Oryzias latipes: one gene and its partners. The protein of the gene in region 2 interacts with the protein of the main gene of each other region in a pairwise test. Links are inferred from orthologs where the notes say so. Each region holds a gene or a part of one and is shown on either strand. Other genes may lie near its edges. The genes, in order: janus kinase and microtubule-interacting protein 2, pin1, cnksr1, dab1, supt5h and cep76.

The links.
Region 1: the proteins of pin1 (region 2) and janus kinase and microtubule-interacting protein 2 interact in binary tests that used the Homo sapiens proteins (3 or more experiments, as listed by UniProt). The two-hybrid records come from large-scale screens. The link is inferred for Oryzias latipes from reciprocal best matches to the Homo sapiens genes PIN1 and JAKMIP2.
Region 3: the proteins of pin1 (region 2) and cnksr1 interact in binary tests that used the Homo sapiens proteins (3 or more experiments, as listed by UniProt). The two-hybrid records come from large-scale screens. The link is inferred for Oryzias latipes from reciprocal best matches to the Homo sapiens genes PIN1 and CNKSR1.
Region 4: the proteins of pin1 (region 2) and dab1 interact in binary tests that used the Homo sapiens proteins (3 or more experiments, as listed by UniProt). The two-hybrid records come from large-scale screens. The link is inferred for Oryzias latipes from reciprocal best matches to the Homo sapiens genes PIN1 and DAB1.
Region 5: the proteins of pin1 (region 2) and supt5h interact in binary tests that used the Homo sapiens proteins (3 or more experiments, as listed by UniProt). The link is inferred for Oryzias latipes from reciprocal best matches to the Homo sapiens genes PIN1 and SUPT5H.
Region 6: the proteins of pin1 (region 2) and cep76 interact in binary tests that used the Homo sapiens proteins (3 or more experiments, as listed by UniProt). The two-hybrid records come from large-scale screens. The link is inferred for Oryzias latipes from reciprocal best matches to the Homo sapiens genes PIN1 and CEP76.

What each region holds. Positions count from the first base shown.
Region 1 is NC_019872.2:5,582,623-5,586,230, reverse strand, and holds part of janus kinase and microtubule-interacting protein 2, read right to left. Parts: coding exon 3,564-3,608; intron 3,489-3,563; coding exon 3,246-3,488; intron 2,192-3,245; coding exon 1,982-2,191; intron 1,830-1,981; coding exon 1,731-1,829; intron 1,158-1,730; coding exon 1,011-1,157; intron 944-1,010; coding exon 803-943; intron 1-802.
Region 2 is NC_019859.2:22,494,256-22,498,429, forward strand, and holds the start of pin1 (peptidyl-prolyl cis-trans isomerase NIMA-interacting 1), read right to left. Parts: upstream 2,849-4,174; 5' UTR 2,818-2,848; coding exon of another isoform or gene 2,793-2,817; 5' UTR 2,748-2,792; coding exon 2,690-2,747; intron 1,808-2,689; coding exon 1,725-1,807; intron 835-1,724; coding exon 726-834; intron 645-725; coding exon 534-644; intron 1-533. Other genes in the region: ubl5 (ubiquitin-like protein 5), read left to right, coding at 2,793-2,817, 2,942-3,045, 3,345-3,406, 3,871-3,954, 4,052-4,089. UniProt on the Homo sapiens protein: Peptidyl-prolyl cis/trans isomerase (PPIase) that binds to and isomerizes specific phosphorylated Ser/Thr-Pro (pSer/Thr-Pro) motifs.
Region 3 is NC_019880.2:9,395,430-9,399,037, forward strand, and holds part of cnksr1 (connector enhancer of kinase suppressor of ras 1), read left to right. Parts: intron 1-1,576; coding exon 1,577-1,618; intron 1,619-1,727; coding exon 1,728-1,847; intron 1,848-3,608. UniProt on the Homo sapiens protein: May function as an adapter protein or regulator of Ras signaling pathways.
Region 4 is NC_019862.2:3,573,497-3,577,104, forward strand, and holds part of dab1 (disabled homolog 1), read right to left. Parts: intron 995-3,608; coding exon 875-994; intron 497-874; coding exon 458-496; intron 113-457; coding exon 50-112; intron 1-49. UniProt on the Homo sapiens protein: Signaling adapter of the reelin-mediated signaling pathway, which regulates the migration and differentiation of postmitotic neurons during brain development.
Region 5 is NC_019871.2:949,526-953,133, reverse strand, and holds part of supt5h (transcription elongation factor SPT5), read right to left. Parts: intron 3,234-3,608; coding exon 3,228-3,233; intron 1,722-3,227; coding exon 1,710-1,721; intron 1,626-1,709; coding exon 1,556-1,625; intron 969-1,555; coding exon 900-968; intron 1-899. UniProt on the Homo sapiens protein: Component of the DRB sensitivity-inducing factor complex (DSIF complex), which regulates mRNA processing and transcription elongation by RNA polymerase II.
Region 6 is NC_019874.2:5,541,018-5,544,625, forward strand, and holds part of cep76 (centrosomal protein of 76 kDa), read left to right. Parts: coding exon 1-129; intron 130-243; coding exon 244-426; intron 427-2,175; coding exon 2,176-2,273; intron 2,274-2,616; coding exon 2,617-2,745; intron 2,746-3,009; coding exon 3,010-3,201; intron 3,202-3,608. UniProt on the Homo sapiens protein: Centrosomal protein involved in regulation of centriole duplication. Required to limit centriole duplication to once per cell cycle by preventing centriole reduplication.

The DNA of each region.
Region 1 (3,608 bases), on a different chromosome or scaffold from region 2:
TGTCAATAAGTCAGTCAACAAATGGCTGTAAACGAAATTTTTTTCTCTTATGTCAAAAAGACTGAATGAGATAATTGCTAGAACTCGATTACACTTGTTTTTGTGAACAATGTTAAGTACGGTCTTCTCTTTAAACAGGGCCTAAAGGAAGGACAGCACTCGCTTTGGGCAAGCACCGCCCTTTCAGTATTAGTTTGTGTGGCTCATGGAACTTGTTTCTTCCTGTTTAAGACTATAAATTAAAAAAACAAGCAATTTTGATGTCTTCCCCGTTGTTTTACTAGAAGAGCCATGAAAATTTATTACTGATAATAGTATCTTCTTTATTGTGATAAAATACAGTGAAATTCATTCACAATGTGAGGAAAAAGCTCTCACAACACTTGGGAGAAACAGCTGAACAGAGGGGTCTTGGTGTACTTAACCCTTGTGCTATTTTAGATGACCCCACCCTTACATTGACGTGTTCTCCCTACCATGACAAAGGTGGATAAAGGTGAAGAGGATTTCATGTCATCCATAGACACCACTGAAGATCACATATCACTGATTAAAAAAGTTCAGCGCACTGTCTAGTGGGGTCCAAATGACCCAACTCCCAATGTTAAAGTGCCTAGGATAGCACAAGGGTTACAAAATTGGTTCTAAAACCAGTCTCTCTAAATTTTCCGTCACACTGAAAATTGGCAGAAGTGCTGGAGAAAATGGCGATTAAATTCCAGTCATTTCAGAATCAGAATCAGAAATTCTGATTCTGAAATGAATCAGAATCAGAATCAGAATCATTTAAAGTCAAACCTACCCGTGTAAGTTCATCAATCATGTTTTGCTGTTCCAGGACTTGAAGTTTCAGAAATGTGATTTCCTGGTCATCGTGGGCTTGGTCCAAGTCATTCAGTGACTTTAGCTTCTTGAGAGGAGGATGGGAGCTCATTCTCTCTTTCTGCAGGAGCATGCAAGATGTTAGATCACAAAATCTATAAATCTGTTATGGATGCTAGCGTACGAACCATTTCCAGATTCTCTTTTGTCAGGTTCTTCAGCTTCTCCTCCAATTTTTGGATGGTCATCGTCAAGTCGTCATTTCTTTTACTCAGCAGTTTGTTCTTTTCAAGCAGAGGCTTGCACTGCTTTTCTGTTTCACGAACGCGCTTTAGCTAGTAGAGAGAGACATAAAAAAAAAGGGAATGACCAGGAGTCAGAAGATGGGTAGTCTAAAGGCCTGTCCAAAGTCCGTCTTGTGGGCCAAATAGGATCCTTGGGCTTTTGCCATAAATATGCAGCCCCAGCACTTTCTAAGAACCACGATTTCTTGATTGTGATTGACTAAACTGCGTTTTTAAACCTGTGGCACCAACCTGACCTTCAGAGCCTCTTTTTGTTCTCTGATCAAAACTACAGTAGTTTGTACTTCAGTTTAATATCACTATTTGTTATTTTCCTGTTCACATGATTTATTTTTAGTACTTAATAGAGAATAATATGTGAAATTTCATGTGAACCCAGATGTGACAATGATCCCGTTGCGCAAGAAAAAAAAAATTGTGAAATTGTTCATTTATATTTTAATGTTCAAAGCATGCAGGCTGATTGGTTGGCCTCACACATTTTCACCTCACCAAATCTGGCCCTCTTTGAACAAAGCTTGGACACCCCTGATGTTAGGTTAAGGCCAAAAATATTGAAACAATGGGTTAGATTTCACTTTTATTTGTAGAACTTGGTCATACCAGTTCATTTCTCTCATCGCCCAACAGTGAGTTGCGGTCCTCCAACCTCCGTATGGTTGAGTTCAGGTCAGCAATGCGCCTCTGATTCCTCCTCAAGTCCTAAAGTGAATTAAAAAGGGAAAAAAAGGCATCCAGGTTTACCGCATGACCAGACATCATACAAAAGGTAGTTAAAATAAGAGGCTAGTATAGTTTATTTGAAATAATGTGAATGTTTGACTGGCTCCAAAAATGCGTGGCTTTGTTCGTACAGGGCTGCCGTGGTGCTCGGCTCCATCTCCAGCTCTGCCTGGAATCTCTCTTTTGGGACTTCCCAGGCCGCACTCGGCCTCTTTGGCTATAAACAGCTGTTCATCCAGAGCATCTTTCTGGAGCTGCAGCTTCTGCAGAAAGCCTGTCGTTGACTCCAGTTCCTTCTCCAGAGCAAAAATGGTGCGATCTTTCGCCTTGATTTCATCTACCTAGAAAGAACAAAAATACTGGTGTCATTAGATCAAATGTTCCAGTTTTTGTCTTCGTTTTGATTTAACCGGCAAAGTAAAATTAGAACCAGTTCTCAGAATCAGAATAAGCACAAAGACCACAGAACATTTACATGTCTTAACAGCTCATAGGCCATAAAAGTATGACATAGGCAAAGAAACAAGAAATCTGCTTCTTGAATTTTTTAGTAATCAGGCAGGAGATTTTGTTAATTAAGTTATTTAGATTTTTTTAGTACTAATTTCATTAGGGGTGCAACAGATCATAAAACTCAGTTTGGATTGTTTCACAGCTTTTTAGGACCAGTAAAAAATAAAATAAGTCAAGTTATACCATGGTCCGGGTGAATACTCGATTCTGATTGGCTGCTGGGTGTACATTAAAAAGTGATACCACAGTGATAACCGCATGGTGAAAAAAGAAGTTCAGGTCACCTAGCTTCAATGTTTTGTATCACTTCTTTGAAACAACCCTTTGCTTCATCATTTGGAAAAAAAACAAGCGGTAAGAGGTGAACTTTCTCTCTGAATTGATGCTTTATTCAACCCATCGGAAAGATCAGCATTATATATATATATATCGCCAAATCTTGAAACTGGTTAATATGTATTGCTTTTGTAAGTGACCATGGCATGAGCGGGTTAATGGCCTTCGCCATTAACGCACTTCGTGGAAGCATCCGTCGGACGGTTCAGCCTTCCACGGCGTGCGTTAAAAAGTAATAATGCACACTACGTCGGCCATTAACCCTTACGTACACGTTGTGTTTCGAATCGTGGCTACTGATCTGTACGAATCACAGTTCAGCCAAGATTGGTTGCCCCTCTAGAAATCATAGTTTTTTACCTTTTTTTTTAACCACGTTATTGTTTACCTATAGAGCTTTTTTTGCTAGAAGTATCTTAAATAAGAATTTTGCCTTTCAACTGTTAAGACAATGCACCAAGAATATTCCACATCAAGAGTGTATTTTCATTTTAGTTCAGTTGTTTCAAATTGATTGGTTTTTATTTCAAGCATTTTTGTGCATACCAGTCTGCGAATGTCCCGCTCACAGTCCCACTTGATCTTGGAGATCTGTTCCTGATGCTGCTGGTGCTCCACCCGCAGGTCCCCAGCCTTCATCTTGTCTGCCTGGATCATGTTGCTGAGCGCCTCGTCGGTCTGCTTCTTAGACGACTTCAGCTCTGCGATCTCCTGCAGGAGCTTCACTCTTTCCTGGTCAAAGAAGCGGCGCGCCTCTTCTTTTGCCTCCAACGTGAGTGCGGTACGCACCTGAAGAGCAGAAAGATACAGTGTTCTTGCATCTCTTAACAGCAAACTTGCTTCAGCCATCAACCTTGACCATACCTTCTCGCCGCTGCCATCTCGCATGGCATTCAGTGCAGCTTTGAG
Region 2 (4,174 bases):
ACACATTGTTATGTTTAATAAACTTTACAGTTGTTAGTGCTACTAGTCATTATCTTTTTTTTTTAATCAGGTGGGTGATGAGGTTTGAGTTAAATGTAGATCATGAATGCAAACATGCAGACGTAAGCCAACTTAGACTAAATTGGGTATTTTAGGAAGACTAAAACTAAATTGCATGTTTTCTAATACGTATAATATAAGCATTATGTGTAATTTCTCTTCAGTTTGGCATTTGTGGGTTGATTCAACAGAAAAGACAACCCGTGCCAGAGTAAGTGATAAGAATTGTCCTGGCAAATGCAACAAAGCAATGTTGAGAGACCAACAAATAGACAGAGTAAAAAAGTTTATGAGGCTTTTGCTGGAGAGGAAACCTTATAAACAGAGTTAATTATTAAGCATTTTTTAACTAAAATTAGAAAGCATTTTTACTTAAAAAACTGTAAATATTAGGACAATACTACCTTATAACTACATAAAAGCTGAAGAACTAAAACTAAGAAAACCCAATATTCCCATTATGATGTTGGTACCTCTGGCAAACAGTCCCAGATCTCCACCGTTCTTAGCTGAGCTGCAGTCGCTGAACTGAGAGGCTAGAGATTCAAAAGACTCATGCCCAGATTTGATTTCGTCTATGTACTCTAGAAAACAGAACCAAAAAAAAGACAGATTAAGTAGAGATTTGAAACAGATCTGGTGTTTCTGTCCTCTGCCTTACTTACTCTGAATAAGCTCTATAGCCTCTTCTTTAGTTCGTGTTATATTTTGTTCCCTCCAGGAAGAAGGACGTCGAGACTGATTATGTTTTACTAGGAGGTGGGAGCATCGCACCTGAGAGAGAGAAAGGAGGAAACACAAAAAGATACACAATACATCATCACCTATTTGTTAGAAAGTGTTATAAAATGTTTCTGTGCAGGGGTGTAATGACTAATTGACCTGATCAATCAATCGATTTATATTCCTACGATCCAAGCAGAACAATCTGTCTGAGGCATTTGTTAATTGAATCGATCTATTACATTATAAAACTGTTTCAAATTAAAATAAATATATTATTTCCATATCGGGAAATACCATTTGGCTTAAGGGACGGTTTACTTTACTATAACATAATAACAACCAAGTGTTAGTTAGATTGAACCAATATTGACCATAAAATCGTACTGGAAACCACAAGTGATCATATGAATTAGACCTGCACAACAAAACGCAAATGTATCATTATCGCAATTTCAAGCTGTGCAATTCGCATATTGCAAAAGTCGTCAAAAATAGCAATAAATGTTTACTTTAAATGTGCTAAAACAAATATTGGAGTATTTAACGAATCAAATAAATTGACCAATCAGATGGGGCTCTTTTATTTATTTATTTTGAAGCTTTTCTTAGGTTAGACGTTCGCCTCCTATGTAGACGAGGGTCATTTGGAGTATAATTTAAGTTATGTTGACTCTTATTTAAATTAAACTGTTGCAGTAAAATGGAAATGATGTTTTTAGTCGTTTTGCTATTTGTTCATGAATGTTTTATCGTCGTCGCAATATTGATCACTAATATGGCGAGTTTTCCTCATATGGTGCAGCCCTAATATGAATGTCATTAAAACTAATCATTACCGGTACATCACTATCACAAGCTCTACAAATACTTCTTTAGTGAATTTATTATGATTTCAATCCTAAATGTATTGCTAATAAAACACACAAAATGAAGTCCACCTTATCTGGCTCTCCACGGCCATCTCCCACAGGACGTTCCCACTGGCTGGCATTAGTGATGTGGTTAAAGTAGTACACCTTGCCTACAAACAGCAAAGAAAGCAGTTTGATCAGCACCTTTGGAATGATCCAAGACATTAGAAGACACAAAAATCAAATTACAGTTTACATGACCTTACCCACTAAAACTGCAAAAGCACTCACAATTCCCCGTATCGGTATTATTGTTGTTTCATAGTAGTTGGTCATGAAGTTGCATGGTTTTGAATAAAACCAATGCATCAACTGCTGACAGTGTTCAATTTAGTTTATAGGTCTGCAAAAAGCTGTTCCTTTGCAATCCTTCCTTTTTACTCCATTGAAAAGAAACACACAAATAAAACAGAAAAAAAAACACCTAAAGTTTTTACAAGGCAATCATCTACCCAAACAGATTTTCTGTAAAAGAAGAAGAGAAATCAGATAAACAGACGTATCTGCAGAAATAAATCACATTTTGGGGGGGATCTGAAAGTTTAGTAGATTTCTCAAAGTTAAATAATTACCTATATATGAAAAAAATGTAAAGTGATCTTGTTTACAAAATATTCCCCAAATTGTCAGTTTTACTGTGCGTATATATTCACAAAATACTTTCAAGACATCAGGTCTAAGCTGCGTCTGCGCAAATTCCAGGTGACGTCATGCAACGGCGGCCCTGCAGAACATCTCCATTAGAAAAAAAAGTGGGGGAAAAGCTAGTTATAAAGCAAACCGTAGCATAACCGTATTTTCCCAGCGGCACTTTTCCTGATAGAAACCGTGTCGGTAACCCCGATGCATGCATTAGCAGGACAGCCTCACCTGAAACAAGTTCACAAAGCCTCGCTTACCACGATGCACGGGCTAGCTATAAGCTAAATCAACTTCTCGTGGGCTGCAGTTGAGCTCATACATTCAGCCTCCCCCGTCTTATGTATATTTACCTGAACTACGGCTCATTCTTTTCTCCCATCCCGACGGTAAATTCTCCTCGTCTGCCATGTTATCTGCTGCAACGTTATCAAGTTAGAATTCAACGTTCAAACGATGCGACACGGCTACGGCTCAGCAGGTACGACAGTCGGTTTACGGCAAAAGTTGTTTTCTGAGTTTGGCCCGCCCCCAAACGGCTTGTCCGTCCTACTATTGGTCTTCAACTCTTGTCAATCATATTTCTTACTATCTAATTGGTTAAGAGGACAATAACACGCGACATCGATTCTACGGTGATGAGCACCGAGAGCTTTCCAGAAGGTTTCAACTAGTGAAGAAAATCCATCAATCTTGGGCTACATTTAACGTATGTTTTACACTTTTTGATCTTTTTAACACGTCTGGCAACATTTTTGAAACCTTAAGTTGATCTTAATAGGCGCCATCTAATTTATGTTTTATATATTTAAAAGAGTTGTGTGCACAAGCTAACGGGTTAGCTAAAAAAATCATGGCTGGTCGAATTTCATCGTCAATTTAGTTTCTGCTGTTGACGCAAAATGAATTACACATTCTTTTGACTTAATGTTAGTGGTGTGAACGATTAATGTCGTTCCTGTTCATAACTCCAATATTTCAGCTTACTAGCTCCTCTTTTTTTCACAGTACACGATGATTGAGGTGATTTGCAACGATCGTCTTGGGAAGAAAGTCCGGGTCAAGTGCAAGTATCCTTCTGAACACATTTGATTTGCTGATCTGCTAAAGATGTTTTGGCTGTTAATACTGCACTGCAACATGCTGGTTCTGATTAGTTAAGGGGGGGGGGGGTTACTGTGCTATGGTCCATCCATAGCACAGTAACCGTGCTATGGATGGACCCTTTCCTTATGAACCCATTTGGGGTTCATTAGAATAACCATTTGGGCCTACATTAGAATAACCAGGTAACCTATGAATCATGTATTTTCGACTGTGGGAGGAAGCCGGAGTGCATGGGGTTTCTCTGCAACAAGCAAACTCCACACAGAAGGGTCCCAGCAGGGTTTGGAACCAGGGCCTTCCCCATTGCACCATCATGCAGCTCTATTTAAAATCTAAAGACTGAAAACATTCAGGACATGAAAGCTGGAAGTGTTTGTTTTGAAGGGTTTTCCACGTCACCAAATTGCTCCTCAACATCCTTGCACAGCTCAGAGGACACAATTGGAGACCTGAAGAAACTAATTGCAGCACAGACGGGAACAAGATATGACAAAATTGTACTAAAGAAATGGTAACTTTGCCTTCCTTTGCCTTTTTCTTCTTTGCATCACAATGAACATTGCCCTTTTTGGCTTCTTTACTTAGAAAATGTGTTCTTGTTTTAATAGGTACACCATCTTCAAGGATCACGTGTCTCTCGGTGACTGTATCCTTTTGACGCACTGACTTGACCTTTACTAAGCTGATGCAGAAAGGACCGATTTGCCCTCTAATTTCTTTAGTATTTGAAA
Region 3 (3,608 bases), on a different chromosome or scaffold from region 2:
CTACTCATCCCAGAAACAGCACCAACAACTTCCCAAACGCAAACATATTTAGTTCTGCCTTAGTGATTCTAGTAACTGTGTCATTGTGTGTCATCATATATCTCTTGAGCATTAGCTTGGGCATGAGTGTGTGTTTGTGGAATAAGTGTGTGTACACAGGCATTGGTGCGGTTCGTTGGATTTGCCAGTCATCCCATAGAATTACAAGGGATGTGATGTTGTTTCACAAACCTCCAAGGATTCCTTTTGTTTGTGTTTGAATCACCCTCATCACATGGGATTTTCATTTAGTCACAATTTATAAAAGCCCGTTTTAATGAATTAATAACAAAGCTACGAAGGCCTAATTAGCATATTTAGACCTCATATTGCCTTTGGCATGGTTTAAACATGCTCATTAAAGAGCCACTCTGATGAAAATTGTGTTTGTGGTGTTTTTTTAACTTGGTCTTGAAGCATTTTTCTGATGATGGAGGGAAGAAAATTAAGCTTAAAATTGCATTTCTAAGTATTTCTTTATTCAAATCTTTGTGAATCAGGAGGTAATACTGTTTGAAAAAGTTTGTAGCAGTGATGTAGAAGCTACTACGGAAGCTCTGGCTCAAAATTGCACACTGGATGTCTGCAATATTTCTCATCATTTTTACTGCACCGTTAATGTTAGGTTTGGGGGTGGGTGAGGGACTATAAGCTAGCGGGAGAGCGTGTAAACAGAGGGATGATGGGAAGTGGGTGCAGGCTTGCACCTTGGCAACAGTGCCACCCACAACACAAAAGTTTCTAATGAACGTCTGCCGCTCTGCAGAAACTATGTTGTAGAAAACAACACAGCTTATTTGATTTTGGCAAAAAATGGGATAATCATAATTAAAAGACCACAGGGAAACGCTTTGAAAATGGATTACGGTAATAGATTTCCAACTCAAACTAACTCTGTTACTAAACTTTTTCCTAAAAATCAAATAATGTAGAATACCACAAACCAACAAAAAGTGGACAACAGAACACATTTCTGAAATGTTTCTGTTACACTGATGTTATCTTAGGTCCTACCAGGGTTTCTGTAATTCAGACAAATTTAAAAATATGTTCTGGGAAAGTGGCAAAAAATGTGCTGCATGACTGCATGGTGGTTTCAGATTCAGTTTCATCTAAAGCAGCATTGTCGCATCATTAGTGAAGAAATAATTCAAAGTATTATGTTTATGTAACGATGTGCCATACGTTTTGACAATAATGTCAATCATTTTACCAGAAGCATGAATTTGAAAAAAATCTGAATATGTCTGGCCGTTTTAATGCTGATTTTAAATTTACATATATATAAGAAGCAGAGATGGTTTACTTCTTCAAAGGACCACAAAAGTCCCAGTTAATATCTGGAATTGCCCTCTCTTTGCCTGCGGGCACTTGTGGCTTTGTACTTCCTGTCTCATGCTGTAAAGAGGAAATATGACACTGGCTTTAAGTCAGATTGCCCCATTTCCACAAATCAATACATTTGTTCATAGGCTGGGTTGTTGTCGTTGTTTTTTCTTTTTCTTTGGTCACACTTTCATGTTCTATTTTTAAATAGGACACCACAGTCCACGAAAAGGAAAAAGACATCATCCCTGTGGTGAGGTTGCTTCTAATTTGCATTATTATCTACCTCTGCCTCCTATCAACCTCTGCTGCTAAATAATTTCAACCTTTTATAAAAGACAGATTGTGCTTTTGTCTCATAGTGCCGTCAACTGGTGGCGTTTTGTGATGAGATCCTGAACTCCTGCCCTGAAGCTCTTCTCGCCCAGTCAGCTCAGCTGGAGAGCGTGGACTTGGTTCTCGTGTCGCCTGGTGATCAGCTGGTAAAAACGCCTTCATAAATGACCCTTTTGTTTAGAGTCTCCATGAAAGCAAAAAAGAAGATAGAGATTCTTAAAAGCTGCTGATATTCCTAGCTGCATTTTATTCAATAGGATCACTACTTTTAGAAATTGTTATTTTATCCAGTAAATAAAAGAAGAAAAAATGAGAATATTTCACAAAAATATCTAAGATTTAACACAAGTTTCTAACCTTTTGGGTGCTTCTGTTTTTTTTAATTTCTTTTTACTATTTTGTCTTCTTTTTTCTTAGCCGCTTTACTCCGAATCTTCTTCAGCATTTCTCTCTGCTTCCATCACTCCTGCTGCCTTTATCATTTTCTTCCATTCAGAGCTTCCATCGCCTAAATCAAGGTTCTCTGTGTTCTTCTTTTATGCCTCCTCCTGACTCGTTATCCACTGAATAGGATGTGCCTTTTTGTGCTGCTTCTTCTCATTTTGCTTTCAAGTTCGCACATTCTGTTCTATAATTATAGCTTTCTTCCTACCCTATCCACTGTTTCTTTCAGTATTTAGCACTAAGGACCAGTTTCCCTCTATACAATGTGTTCAGTTTTTGTTTGCTCTGTCCATTAAGGGAAATCTTATGTTAAAAGGCAGGTCCATGTGATCACTCTCGCCACACTTTGATGCATAAAGATAGCTTTCGTTTGTGCCTCTGTGAATACCTGTCAAAGGTTTTCAAGGACAGGCTTTGTAGCTAAATAAATAAATCTCAAATTAATCGTTATCGTTATCGCAATATCAAGCTGTGCAATACGCATATCGCAAAAGATGGCTAAAATTGCGATAAATTGTTACTTTAAATGTGCTAAAAAAATTCTTATGGCAGTTTGAAGTATTTAACGAATCAAATATATCCAATATATCCATTTGACCAATCAGATGGACACCTTCACATTGTTGACCAATCAGATGGAACCCTTTTATGTCAGATGCTCACCTCCTACGTAGACAAGGGTCATTTAGAGTATAATTTAATTCAAATTCAAATTAATTTTATTTATATAGCACCTTTCATGTAAAAAAAAAAAAACAGCTCAAGGTGCTGTACATAAAAACAAACAAGAATGCAGAAAACACCAATCCCCATTCATGCAATAAAATAATTAAATAAGTAAAAGAGAAATGACTAAAGAAAAAAGCTAAAAAAGAGAGAACCCAGAAGGCGCCGTCTGCCCTGTCCTCCTGTTGGTCGGGGTGACAGATAGACACAAACACCCCAGCTAACACTCGTAAACACTCTAACTTGGCTAAGAGACATTAAACAAATAAATTTGTTAAAATATCGTAAAATAAAAGTAAAAATTCTAGATTAAACAAATATGTATGTGATGAAATATCATAAAATGGAGTAAAAGTTCTACATTAAACAAATAAAACAAAATGATGTGATAAAACATCATAAAACATAAGGGTTAAAAAAAAAACGATAATTGGTACGTTGACTCTTATTTAAATTAAACTGTTGTAGTGAAATGGAAATAATGTTTTTGGTTGCAGTGCTATTTGTTCGTGCATCACAAGTTTTATCGTCATCGCAGTATTGATCATTAATATCCCTAATTGTGAATTTTCCTCATATCAAGCATCCCTAATTAAAAGGGAATTTTAAAGAAAACAGCCCGATTTTCTTATCATTACTTTCTGTGAATTCTTAACAAGTTATAGCAGAAACTAAAGAAAGAGGAAGTGTAAGACCAGATATGATCTTAAACACAGTAAGTTCACAAAAATGTGTTG
Region 4 (3,608 bases), on a different chromosome or scaffold from region 2:
GCGACAGCCATTTTAAAGCAGAAACAACACAGGAAGAGCTTGTGAGTACCTGATATATGCTTTCCTCTGATTGGTCATGGATGGGCTCGTGTCCCGCCTCAAACACAATGTACTACAACATCAGCAGCAGAGGGGGGAGGGAGGGCAAAAACAAAAAAAGAATCGCAGAAGAAGAGTTGCAAGATGAGAAATTGAGAGAAAAGTGGTGAAACTGCAAAGGTGGTTAGTCAAACAGTTTTCTGACATTTGAAATAGTTGAAGAAAAGTCCTCTGTGAGACAAGGACGGCTTACATGGAAATCACAGGAAACCTTCTATACTCATGCACACACAGCCACGCACAGTACTAAGTGTTGTACTACCGAACACAAACAGGATCTGTCTCCCCACAGTGCACACAGAGGAACAAGCTGAAGTGCAGCAGGTGAGAGCAGCAACGTGATTGGACAGGAAGTTACCTGGTAGACAGGGTCCTCCAGATCCTCCTCCAGGATTGTCTGCATAAGAGCGGCGGCAGGAAAGAGCAGGAGAGATCAAATGGGAGGAGAGAAGACAGAAGAAAGGGAAGAGGCAGAGAGTTAAGCCGGTGGAACAGGAAAAGGAGGAAGGAAAGCGCAGGAAGCCTTCCCTGCACTCAGGTAATCATTTGGCGATCATCAGCAGAGGAAAGAGACGTTCACAGGGAGGAGGGCAGAACAGAGGAAAAGAAAATAAGCTATGTGTACGGAGGATTTGTGAAAGCAGCGGCTCCTCGTGTCCTTCTTTTATCTTGTTTTGCTCTTCACTCAAGAGTCTATTGGAAGGAACCCATTGTGTTCATGAGGCCTGGTTCATAAAGTGGTTTGAATACAACAAGAGAGGGCTTGATGGAGTACCTGGTAGACCGCCTGCTCACACTGCTTATCTTTCTGAGCCTTCTTCTCCATCTCCTCCCTCTGCTTTATGTCATAGATGAGCTGAAATAAGTCCCGCAGGTCCAGAATCACAGGCTCCGCCTACAAAAAGACAAGAACGCAGTAAAGCAGGACTTTATCCACTCAACTGAACTGAACCTTGCACTCCCCCACCTTGGAACTTAGTGTAATAAAGGCCAACTGTTGGCAGACACACCCACACACACAAGAAAGGTTAACACTCCCCCACAGCAATGTAAAAATCACAGAAACACAATGTTCAATCATCTTATTTTTCCATCAACACGCTGGATTGATGAGTGATGAGGAAGAATCGCGTCCCGTCTGATGCTCGAGTGGATGTTTTGTGCTTTGCTTTAAAGCCATTTACTGATTGAATTTGCTTATTTCAAGATGATTGGTGACCTTCAAACGCTTGGCTGTGTGCAATTTTGATGTACACGCTGGTTTGCTCTGTTGCTTTTTCTCCTTATTCTCTACATAAATATGCTTTTTCAGATGTAAAAGGAGTTCTGTGGTTGTGACTGCATGATAAAATAATCTACCACCTTTTTTCCTTTTAAGCTAGAAATAATATGAATAATAGTGAAACTGGCAGAGTAAAGTAAAGAAGCATTGATATCTTTGTGTAGTGATTCTCTCGACCCTTTAGAAAAGACTTCGATGAACCGTCAGCTTTATACTGTCAGGACAAAGTTTCTGACTGAAAAGTCGAAGATGAATCCAGATAAGAAACACTTGACACATTAGATAAAGTTCACCTTAAGAATAAACCTCACAAACATCTGCTGATAAATGACTGAACTGAGCTAAATCAGGCCTGAACGTTTCTCCAGGGAACTTTGGAGGATTTGCTCAAATACATTAGACGCAGACATGCAATGTGCTTGTTCCAAATCCTTCATAACAGGCAGCAAAGCCCCTCAGCAGATAGCTGTCTGAGCTGCAGTGAATCATTTCAGAAAATGAAAGTTTCAGACTGTGTCAAATGAGTGTTGCCGTCAAACGGTAGCGACCTGAGGTTAAAGAAGGCCACACCATGACAGCAAAGAGGCTCTGCGGCATGTCTGCACAAACTGCCTTCTATGGATACGATTTTCACATTAACATAAGAAGATATTAGTCTCTCTTCTTACCTTGCTAGAGAAGCAAATGCTATTGGAAGCAACCACTTGTTCACAAAACCGCTGCCACAGCACAAAGACAAGGAGACTACTGGTGCAGCAATGATCGACCTAATCAATTATTGACTTGAGCTGTGCGGGGACCTGACTGAGTTCATGGATAGATTGCTGCATTGCATGAAGTAGTTTTGTTTCAGAATCTCTGAGATTCTCAGCTGTGAGTCAGTCATGACACATGCTGTGGATCTGTCTCCCTGAACCAACAACTTTGTACACATTTGTCTGATTCAAGGCTGGAGGGACATGAGAGCACCGTCAAACACCACAAGCACATGCACAATCAACCGTGTCACAGTTACAGCAAGGTGTGAGGAACACCAACAGCTACACAACGTAGTGTTGCATCTGCCTTTCTGTTTTTAGACTAGATTTGACCACGCTGGAAAACGTCACAGTAGCTATGAGAGATTCAGAAGAGATAAGAAAAGGAATAAGACTTTCCAGGAGGTTGGTATGAGGTTTTTATGAAAACCTTTTCTTGCTGGTGTAATTGATGTAATGCACATGTGTCAAACTCAAGGCCCGGGGGCCACATGTGGGCCGCCATGTTATTCTATGTGGCCCGCAAGAGCATAAAAATGTTTAATTTATTAAAATAAAATTTTCTTTAGTTGATTACATATTATTTATTTGTTGCTTCTGATGTAATTATTCAATGTTTGCATGTCTTATGTGTGTATGCAGACAAATTGTTGTCATCAAACCATCAGTTGGATGCAAGGCTGTGTGCAGCCTTTTTTTTTGTAAAATGTTACACGTGTAACACATGCTTTTTCTAGCTCAGTTTTATCTTATTATTATTTATTCACTTGGATAGTTTGATCCTTTTCTATGCAACTGTAATTCTCACTTTAAAACGTTATGATAAATAAATAGTTATTTAACATTAAGGAGTAGTTACATTTGTTTTTCATTACATTTAGTTTCATGTATAAGTTATATCTGGCCCTTTGAGGACAGACACTATGCTGATGAGGCCCTCTGTGAAAATGAGTTGGACACCCCTGATGTAATGTAATGGATGTGCCTTACTACCATTTAAACATTCACATGTCTTATTTTATGTACACTTCTGTTTGATTCTACTCAATCTATGGTGTTCCAAAGGTAGCATGCATCAATTCTTCAACAGTTGCATCAACTGGAATTTTATTTTTTAGTCTTTTGTTTTTTTTTAAGTTGTTTTTTTGGGGGAAAAAGAGAAACATCTGAAGTGCATCAATCAAACACCACTAGACACATCGTTTTCTGCATCTAAAGGAATTCTTTTTGAGTTTCTTTCTGTTTCTGAGCTGAACTTTTGTTTCTTATTTCTGCATTTGATCCCCATAAGCTGTGCCTAGCAGACAGCTACTCTTCTCGGGGTCCTTCAAAAGAAATACGCCATACGTACAGCAAAAAAATTCATCTAAAACATCAATTCCACTTTATGGTAATCTTGAAGATACATAATGTAAACACATAAAATTCCCATTTTAAATATCATAGAAAAGGAGGGCCTTTACGCTTTA
Region 5 (3,608 bases), on a different chromosome or scaffold from region 2:
CAAAAACAGAGCAGATTTCACTTTGTTGAAACCCAAACTCAGGAAAATCTGGAACAAACTTTTTTTAATCCTAAAAATGAAGACTTGATTTTCTTTAGAACATTGGAATATTTAAAGAACAAAGACTTCAGTTCTCTTTTGGACGTTTGTCCGTAAACTGCAGTCCAGGGTTAGGATTGAAACTATTTCCTCTCTTTGAATGACAGCTCTTTTAAGGTGGTTCTACAGGTGTTTTTAGGTGGTACCTTTGCTTGTTCTTACCGGTGTTGTTATCTTTTATAGCACTTTCCTAAACTGTTGTTGTGTTACATAAATAAAGTAACAGGCTATGTTACTTCCTAATGTCTCTTTCTGAAATATACAGATGTTCTTTAATTCAGTGGTCCCCAACCACCGGGCCGTGGACCAGTCCCAGTCCCAGTCCCAGTCCCAGTCCGTGGGTCACTTGGTACCACAACAAAAAAATAAATATAAAGAATTCCAAATGGTCACATAGACTATTTCTGTTTTGTTAATAATCTGAGTCTGAAGTAAGTTTCATTTTGGAAAAATATGGGATTCTGTCCACAACATCCATCTATGACTTACTCTAGGAGCTCGGCTCGGTCACTTCGGCTACTGCTGCTCTACCGTTAAATTAAAAAAAAGACAAAATGTCTTTGGAAGGAAAAGAGCCAGAGAGGATCTGCTATTCACAGATAAAACCAGGAGTTCTTCCTTGAAATATGGACATTTGTTGTTCCTACGTACCAAATCCATGCAGCATAACATTAGACGAATGGCTATTGTTACACCCAATGCTGATAATAAAGTTATGAAACACAATAGATTCATTTTCTGTTTCTGTCAAAACACGTTTTCTTCTCCCTGCGGTTCCCAGTGAGGCCGTCTTCACTTACTGCTCTCCGGCTGAGGACTTGGCATACTTCCTCATGTAGTATTCTCCCAGCGCCTCTTCTCTGGAGTCCCTGAAACACAGACACAGCGGTCAGCCGCTCAACCACAGGCACATTTTGGGTTCTGGACAGCTGTAGAGATCGATTGATTTGTTTTTTTTCAGGGCCAATGTCGGTTATTAGCATTCAAGAACCATGTTTGGAGCCCACATTTATCTGCAGTAAAAGTGAAAATATTGGGATCAAACTTTAAAACACAAAAAAAAAAAAAAAAGTCAATAAAAAAAAAGCATATAACTAGCTCCAAGAAGTGCAGGGAGTAACGGGCTGAGCAGCATTGTTTATTCGATTTAAACGAAGTTATTAAGTTATTCACTTCAACAAAATGACTTCTCTGTGAAAGTTTGAAACATAACAGAAAGTGCAGGTGGCGTCTTATAAGGTCAAATAAATAAATAAATGTGACTGTTCCATTGTCAGAAATCCCAGTTAAGCTTTCAACAGCAAACCAAGACAAAAGCAAAAACAGACGGTTTTCCTGCTGCTTATTGTTGTGGAGGAATAAAACACAATGTTTTAATCATCCAGAAATCCTCATGCGAGGCCCAATAAACAACAACAAAGGAGGAGCGTCCAAACTAAACAATGAGGCCCGTTACCTCCAGAGGTTCTGCAGCCGTCTGGATCCAGAATGATCATCTTCCAGAACCACGCGGTCCAAGTTGGACACTGAGGAGATGAGGAGCATTTACATGATGAAGAAAACGTGAAACCTCGTTGGATTTTAGGCCAAAACAAAGAAACCGGCCTTACCTTCAGCCTCTTCTGCTCCAGTGAAGAAGAGGAGGGCAGACGGAGGCCAGAGGAAGGAGAACCGACAAAACAACACAATACAGGTGAATGGAGGAAGAGGAGAACATCCAGGATCAGCCAGCAGCAACACAAAGCATGATGGGAAAACAAAGTGAACAATGGTGGCTGCAGCACAGAGAAGCATGGAGACGATGAAGAGCTGGATGTGGGCTGAGAGGACGCCTCAGTAGAAACAAAGCTCTGCTCTTCCTCATCGGTTTAGAGACTTCTCTGCAGTCATAGCAGAGCAGAGTTCATCTTTTACAGGTTTCTGTTCTGGCTTCATTTCTGAGTGCAGATGAGATCCACTGCAGCTCAGAAAAGATCCTTCCTCCACCGATCCACTGGAAACCCTACATGCAGTCCAGCTACAAGGAGAGAAAACGCTTTTTCTGAGGAGGTGATGGAGCTGAGGATGCTGAGGAGAACCAGGAGCTGGAAGGCCTACAACCTGGTTCTGAGTCCAGATGGACTCTTTCCCCACCGAGCTGGTTTCAGTTGAGAGCCAGGACTCAGCTGAAGCTCTTTAGTTTACTCCGCCTGAATTCCAACTCCTGCTTCTCAACCTCGGCACGTTACTGCTGGGGTTGGGGGCGGGGCTACCTGGCTGCAGGAAACAAACGCTTTTAGAAAAACAGCTGGTCCAAGAGGACACCAGAGGTTTCTGTTCTCGCGGTCGTTCTCTTGATAAGCTTCGAGTCAGACAGTCGGTGGAAATTAAACCTAAAAAACAACAGACAACTCGTTCAGTCCCCACTTAAGCTCTGCCCCTTTCTGTCTTGAAACGTCCAATGGCGTAATGACTAGGTTCTGTGGAACAGACGGGTTCTGTGGAAGTACTGAACCCGTGGAACCGGAACCAGCTGAGCAGAAACAGAAGGTTTGTGTTTGGTGGAAGAGGCAGATCTGGCCTCCAACCCTGAAACCAGCTCAGTAGAAATTAAAAACAGGTCACGGCCACGTCTAAACGTTTAGTGGAAAAAACGGCGCCGGATTTCTGATTTCAAACCCCCGAGATAATAAACAGAAGAGCTTTAAATGAGCTGCTTGACTCAGAGCACGGTGGAGAAATCTGAGGAGAACGTTCAGCTGCAGGTTTGCTCTCTGGCTGCAAAATGTCATTGAATAGACATCTGCTGGGTTTTCAAACTGACAACATCTGGAACTTTGATTACTGAAGGCAAAGACTTCCTGACTCCATCGTTCTGTTGAAATGCCCTCTGGCTTCTTCTAAACAGCACAGCCACAATGAGGCGGGTCAGCACCAGGGATGCACGATGACGGACAGCTGTCTTGCCTCACTTCCTGCTGTTGCTCTGACCTCCACCGCACAAACAGATGTTTGCTGGTTTTCTGTTAAACCTTCAGGGCAAACCGTGCATCCCCAGTGAGACCGGTCTGGGACGAGGCTGCTGTCAGATGGGGCGGGGACACACAGATGTTTGGGGTGATGGATGTCAGAGGCAGAATCAGGATTACCGTTAGCTGAGCGCCACCATCATGGCGGCGAGGAACGGCGAGAGACAGAGAAAGTGCAGTCAGAACTCATCGGAGCAGCAAACACACAACATCACATTGCGGTTCTCTTCCTGACTCGGGTCCATTGTGAACCAGAAGTCCTACCAGCCTTTTTTTTAACTCACAAATACTTTTTTTATGAAAGCCACACTTCCTCACGTCCGGAACAACACAAAGTTACACACAACATCAAACTGGCTCCACACATCTTTAAATTCCCAATGAACTGAAATGAGCATAAAGAGGCTGAACGAGGAGGAAACAACTCCAGAAGCAGCAAAACTCTGACGACAGAACTCCGACCGGTTCATCTGGACTTCAGTCAGCCGGAGGACAAGTTGC
Region 6 (3,608 bases), on a different chromosome or scaffold from region 2:
AGGTGTCTTCTACGTTTACACTCTACCTACATTTCCGCGACCAGAGGTTTGGATCTAAGCCTGTGCCCTGTACCTGTGAACCAGACATGAGGGAAAACTTCCTCCTGGAACTCTGCAGGGACAATGCAGGTAGGAGGAAAGTAACTGTTTAGAGGTTAGTGAAGATGAGCTTGAACTTAGGTTCCAGGCTTAAAAAATACATCTCCTCCTTGAACCTAATCATGACTTCTTTTCTTGTTAAAGATGGAGGTAAAGTGATGGATGCAGCCTCTATGCTGTCTATATGCGACCCTATCCACTTTGTCCTGATCAAGACGGACATTTCTGGTGAGACGACGCTGGTGTCGTCCTATTTCCTGGATTGGAGGCCAGTTCTCAGCTCAACAAACAGCAAGACTTGTTTTGCTGTGGAGTTAATGGGAGTTGGTAAGCCACCCTGATTGTTATGGTCGGATAAGCAACCCCTACTTTTAAATAATATATTACCTTTGGCACACTAAAGAATGAATTTATTTTTAAATGAGTTAATTTTGTAGGTCATTTTCCTACCTGGAAGTAAAACGTCTCGATCTCTGCGGCTCCGCCTTTCTGTCCTTGTGGGTGCCGCCCATTTCATGACATCATCCTCGGCAGCATGTCTGCCTTTCACCCACAAAAACAAACAACATCTGAACTTTTGCAAAGATGGATGTTCATATTGTGGAGCAGGGCTGCTCATTCCTGGTCCTTTAGCTCTACCACCCTGTCTGTTTTCCAGATCTCCAAGCTCTGCTAGCTGCTGAATGAGGGTGTGTGTGTTAGCGTGGGGGTGGGTTGGCACCGCAGACTCTTCCTGGAAGGGGCTGTTCCTCACTTTGTAATGCTGCAATGTGAGGGTCCACCCATTTTTGTGGATTGGGAGGGGCTGGGGCTCAGAACGCAGGTTTTTAGAGGAATACTCAGAGATGTGTGAACGGATCACAATACTGCTTTGGGGTTGTTTTTTGTGAGGAATGAACATTATTATACATTTAAAAGCTTAAAAAGTTGATTCTGCTGGATACAGACCCTTTAAACCAGGGTTTCTCAAAGTTTTTGTAGCGGAGGGCCAAATGAAGAACTCTGCATTAGACTGGGGGCCAATTTTGGTTTAAAAAAATGGATAAACAGAAAAGGTTGTTTTTAATAACTTGGATGACCAAGTGTCATTGTACAGTTAACCAGGCCCAGGCTGTGCAGAGACTAATGCACGGAGCATCAGTCAAAACACTCTCAGCAAAGCGGGTTAAAGTTCTGCAGAACCTCCCAGCAATAGATTGTAGTCCAGCGACCTGATGGATCAGAGTGATGTGTACAACGCTCTGAAACAAGGCCAACGTCATGGCGATGGTGTGCGAGAAAGCTGAGCTGCAGCTGCAGAGCAGACTGTCATGGAAATAAAGCATCTTTGCCACATGAAAGCATCTCCTTCATCTGTCATGCTGCTGCATCATCATCATAACACTTTATTGATGTTTTTCCCCTTTATTCTTGAAGCACCGTTCAGGCTCCTAAACCATTGAAAAGTACTGGAGAAGCTACATTTACCAATATTGGAAATAAACATCACTTTATTTCGTCAATCATACTTTTAGAACCTTATTAGTTAAGGCACATTCATTCTTTTTTTTTTCTTATACTGAAATATATTTTTTTGTGGAAATCAGACAAAGTATACTGTTCCTTTTCTATATTTTAACTTACCAAAACAAAAGCAGTGTGAATTTGAGATACAGTTGCAGTGCTTAACATTGTGATCATTAAATAAAATGGATTTTTACCATTTCATCACTATGGAAGACATTAATATTCAGGTAGTTTTTTCTAAGTGATACCCCCAAAAAAAATAAAAATAAAAAAGAAGTGTTCTGGTAGAACGTCGGGATACGTATAGTATGATCAGACTCTTGGCAATACACATCCGTAGATTATAGCACCAGTCAAATGCATACGTCTGCCTTTTTATGGATGTTTTAAAGTGACATTTTTCTTGTATTTATATTTGGATTTTGAACCAGAGATGCTTAAACACGCGGTAAAAAGAAACCTTAAAAGGTGGAGGAGGGGATCTTTCTTCAAGTAGATTCCAAAAGTAAAACAAGTTTTTTTTTTGTCTTATAAACGCTTATGCTGTACTAATAATTTCTTGAACCACAGGAAGTGAATGCAAAGTGCCAGCTGGTGTTCTGACAGTCAACCTGGAGCTGTACCCTCCTCCAGCTGTGAATCTAAGTGCAGATGTCATCAGCACACAGGTCAGCAGCATTTCTGAAATCAAGTTTCTGAAACCATCCGTTGAATCACCAAACTCTGATTCTTAATGAAGGCACCCTAAAGTAACTTAGTGAAAACCCTGACGGGATAGAAACTGCTGGAAGCCAGAAGAATAAATGGAGTTTATTTAAACGACTCGCTCTCTCATTTTGTTTAATGTTTTTTTTGCCAAGTCCTGATGTAGAAGTGTTTGCTTTTTGTTGGTTTATTCTGGTGTTTCTCTTCAATAAATCAAAACAAAGGTTTAAATATCGGATATTTGTATCAACCAAAAGAAGCTGGAAGGTATTGTGTTTCTGTGACCCGTGTGTGATTGTCCTGCAGCAGTCACTGGAGAGGACGAGGACGGCAGAGAAGGACAGGCTCTTCTTGGTTTATGCTAAACAATGGTGGCGAGAGTTCCTGGAGATTCGGGCGTCTCATCAGTCCAAGCTGGTCAAAATATTTGCACAGGTTAGTTCTGAGATATTTTAAAAAAAAGATGTTATTAAAAAAAAATTACAGCTGCAATGTCATTAACTGATAATTCACTTGCTGTGATCATCAGATCATCATCAGACTTCCTTTTGTATCTGGAAACATTTTTTTGGGGAGGAGATTGGTTCAAATCATGATGCATGATTCTAGAAATTACCGATATCTGCTGCTTTTTATGTTCTGTTTGCTTCAGTTCTTTTCCAGAACGTTTAGCCCTATGCTTCTGTTGTGTGTCTGCAGGACGAGAACGGCGTAAACCGACCCGTCTGCTCTTATGTGCGTGTCCTCCGGGCTGGCCGCCTCCTGGAGAGCTCGCGCCACGCTGCCCGCTTCGTCAGCCTGCTGGCCCACGAGAGGGCTCCGATGCTTGGAGGAGGAACGGGCAAGCAGGAGCAGTGGTGCACGTTGATGGCTTTTCTGTGTCGAGGAAAGGTGGGTGTCTGCTGCTGAACATCCACAACACAGATGGTCTGACTTTCAGACGCTGTTGATGTTTTCTGGTCTGTGGCAATAGCATCAAAGTTTGTTTCCATGTTTCTTCAAACCTTTCCTTTTCTGCCTTTTTCATACATGAGCTCCCCCAACCTGTGGCTTTATCATCCTGTAACTGAGGCCAGTCTCTCACTTCATTCCAATGGGTTTCAGGTTGACTTTAGTCCAGGATATGCACAAAAGAGGCATTTGGGACCTCAATATACCTGCACTTTCTTTTGGGCTTAAACGGTAACATCAAGTTGCAGGTTTTGATGAATCTTTCCATCAGCAGGCTGATGAAGTTCAGACTCAAGTCTGCTATAAGTTCTGGGTGTTGGTAGACTTGGCCGCTGTGCAGCTCATCC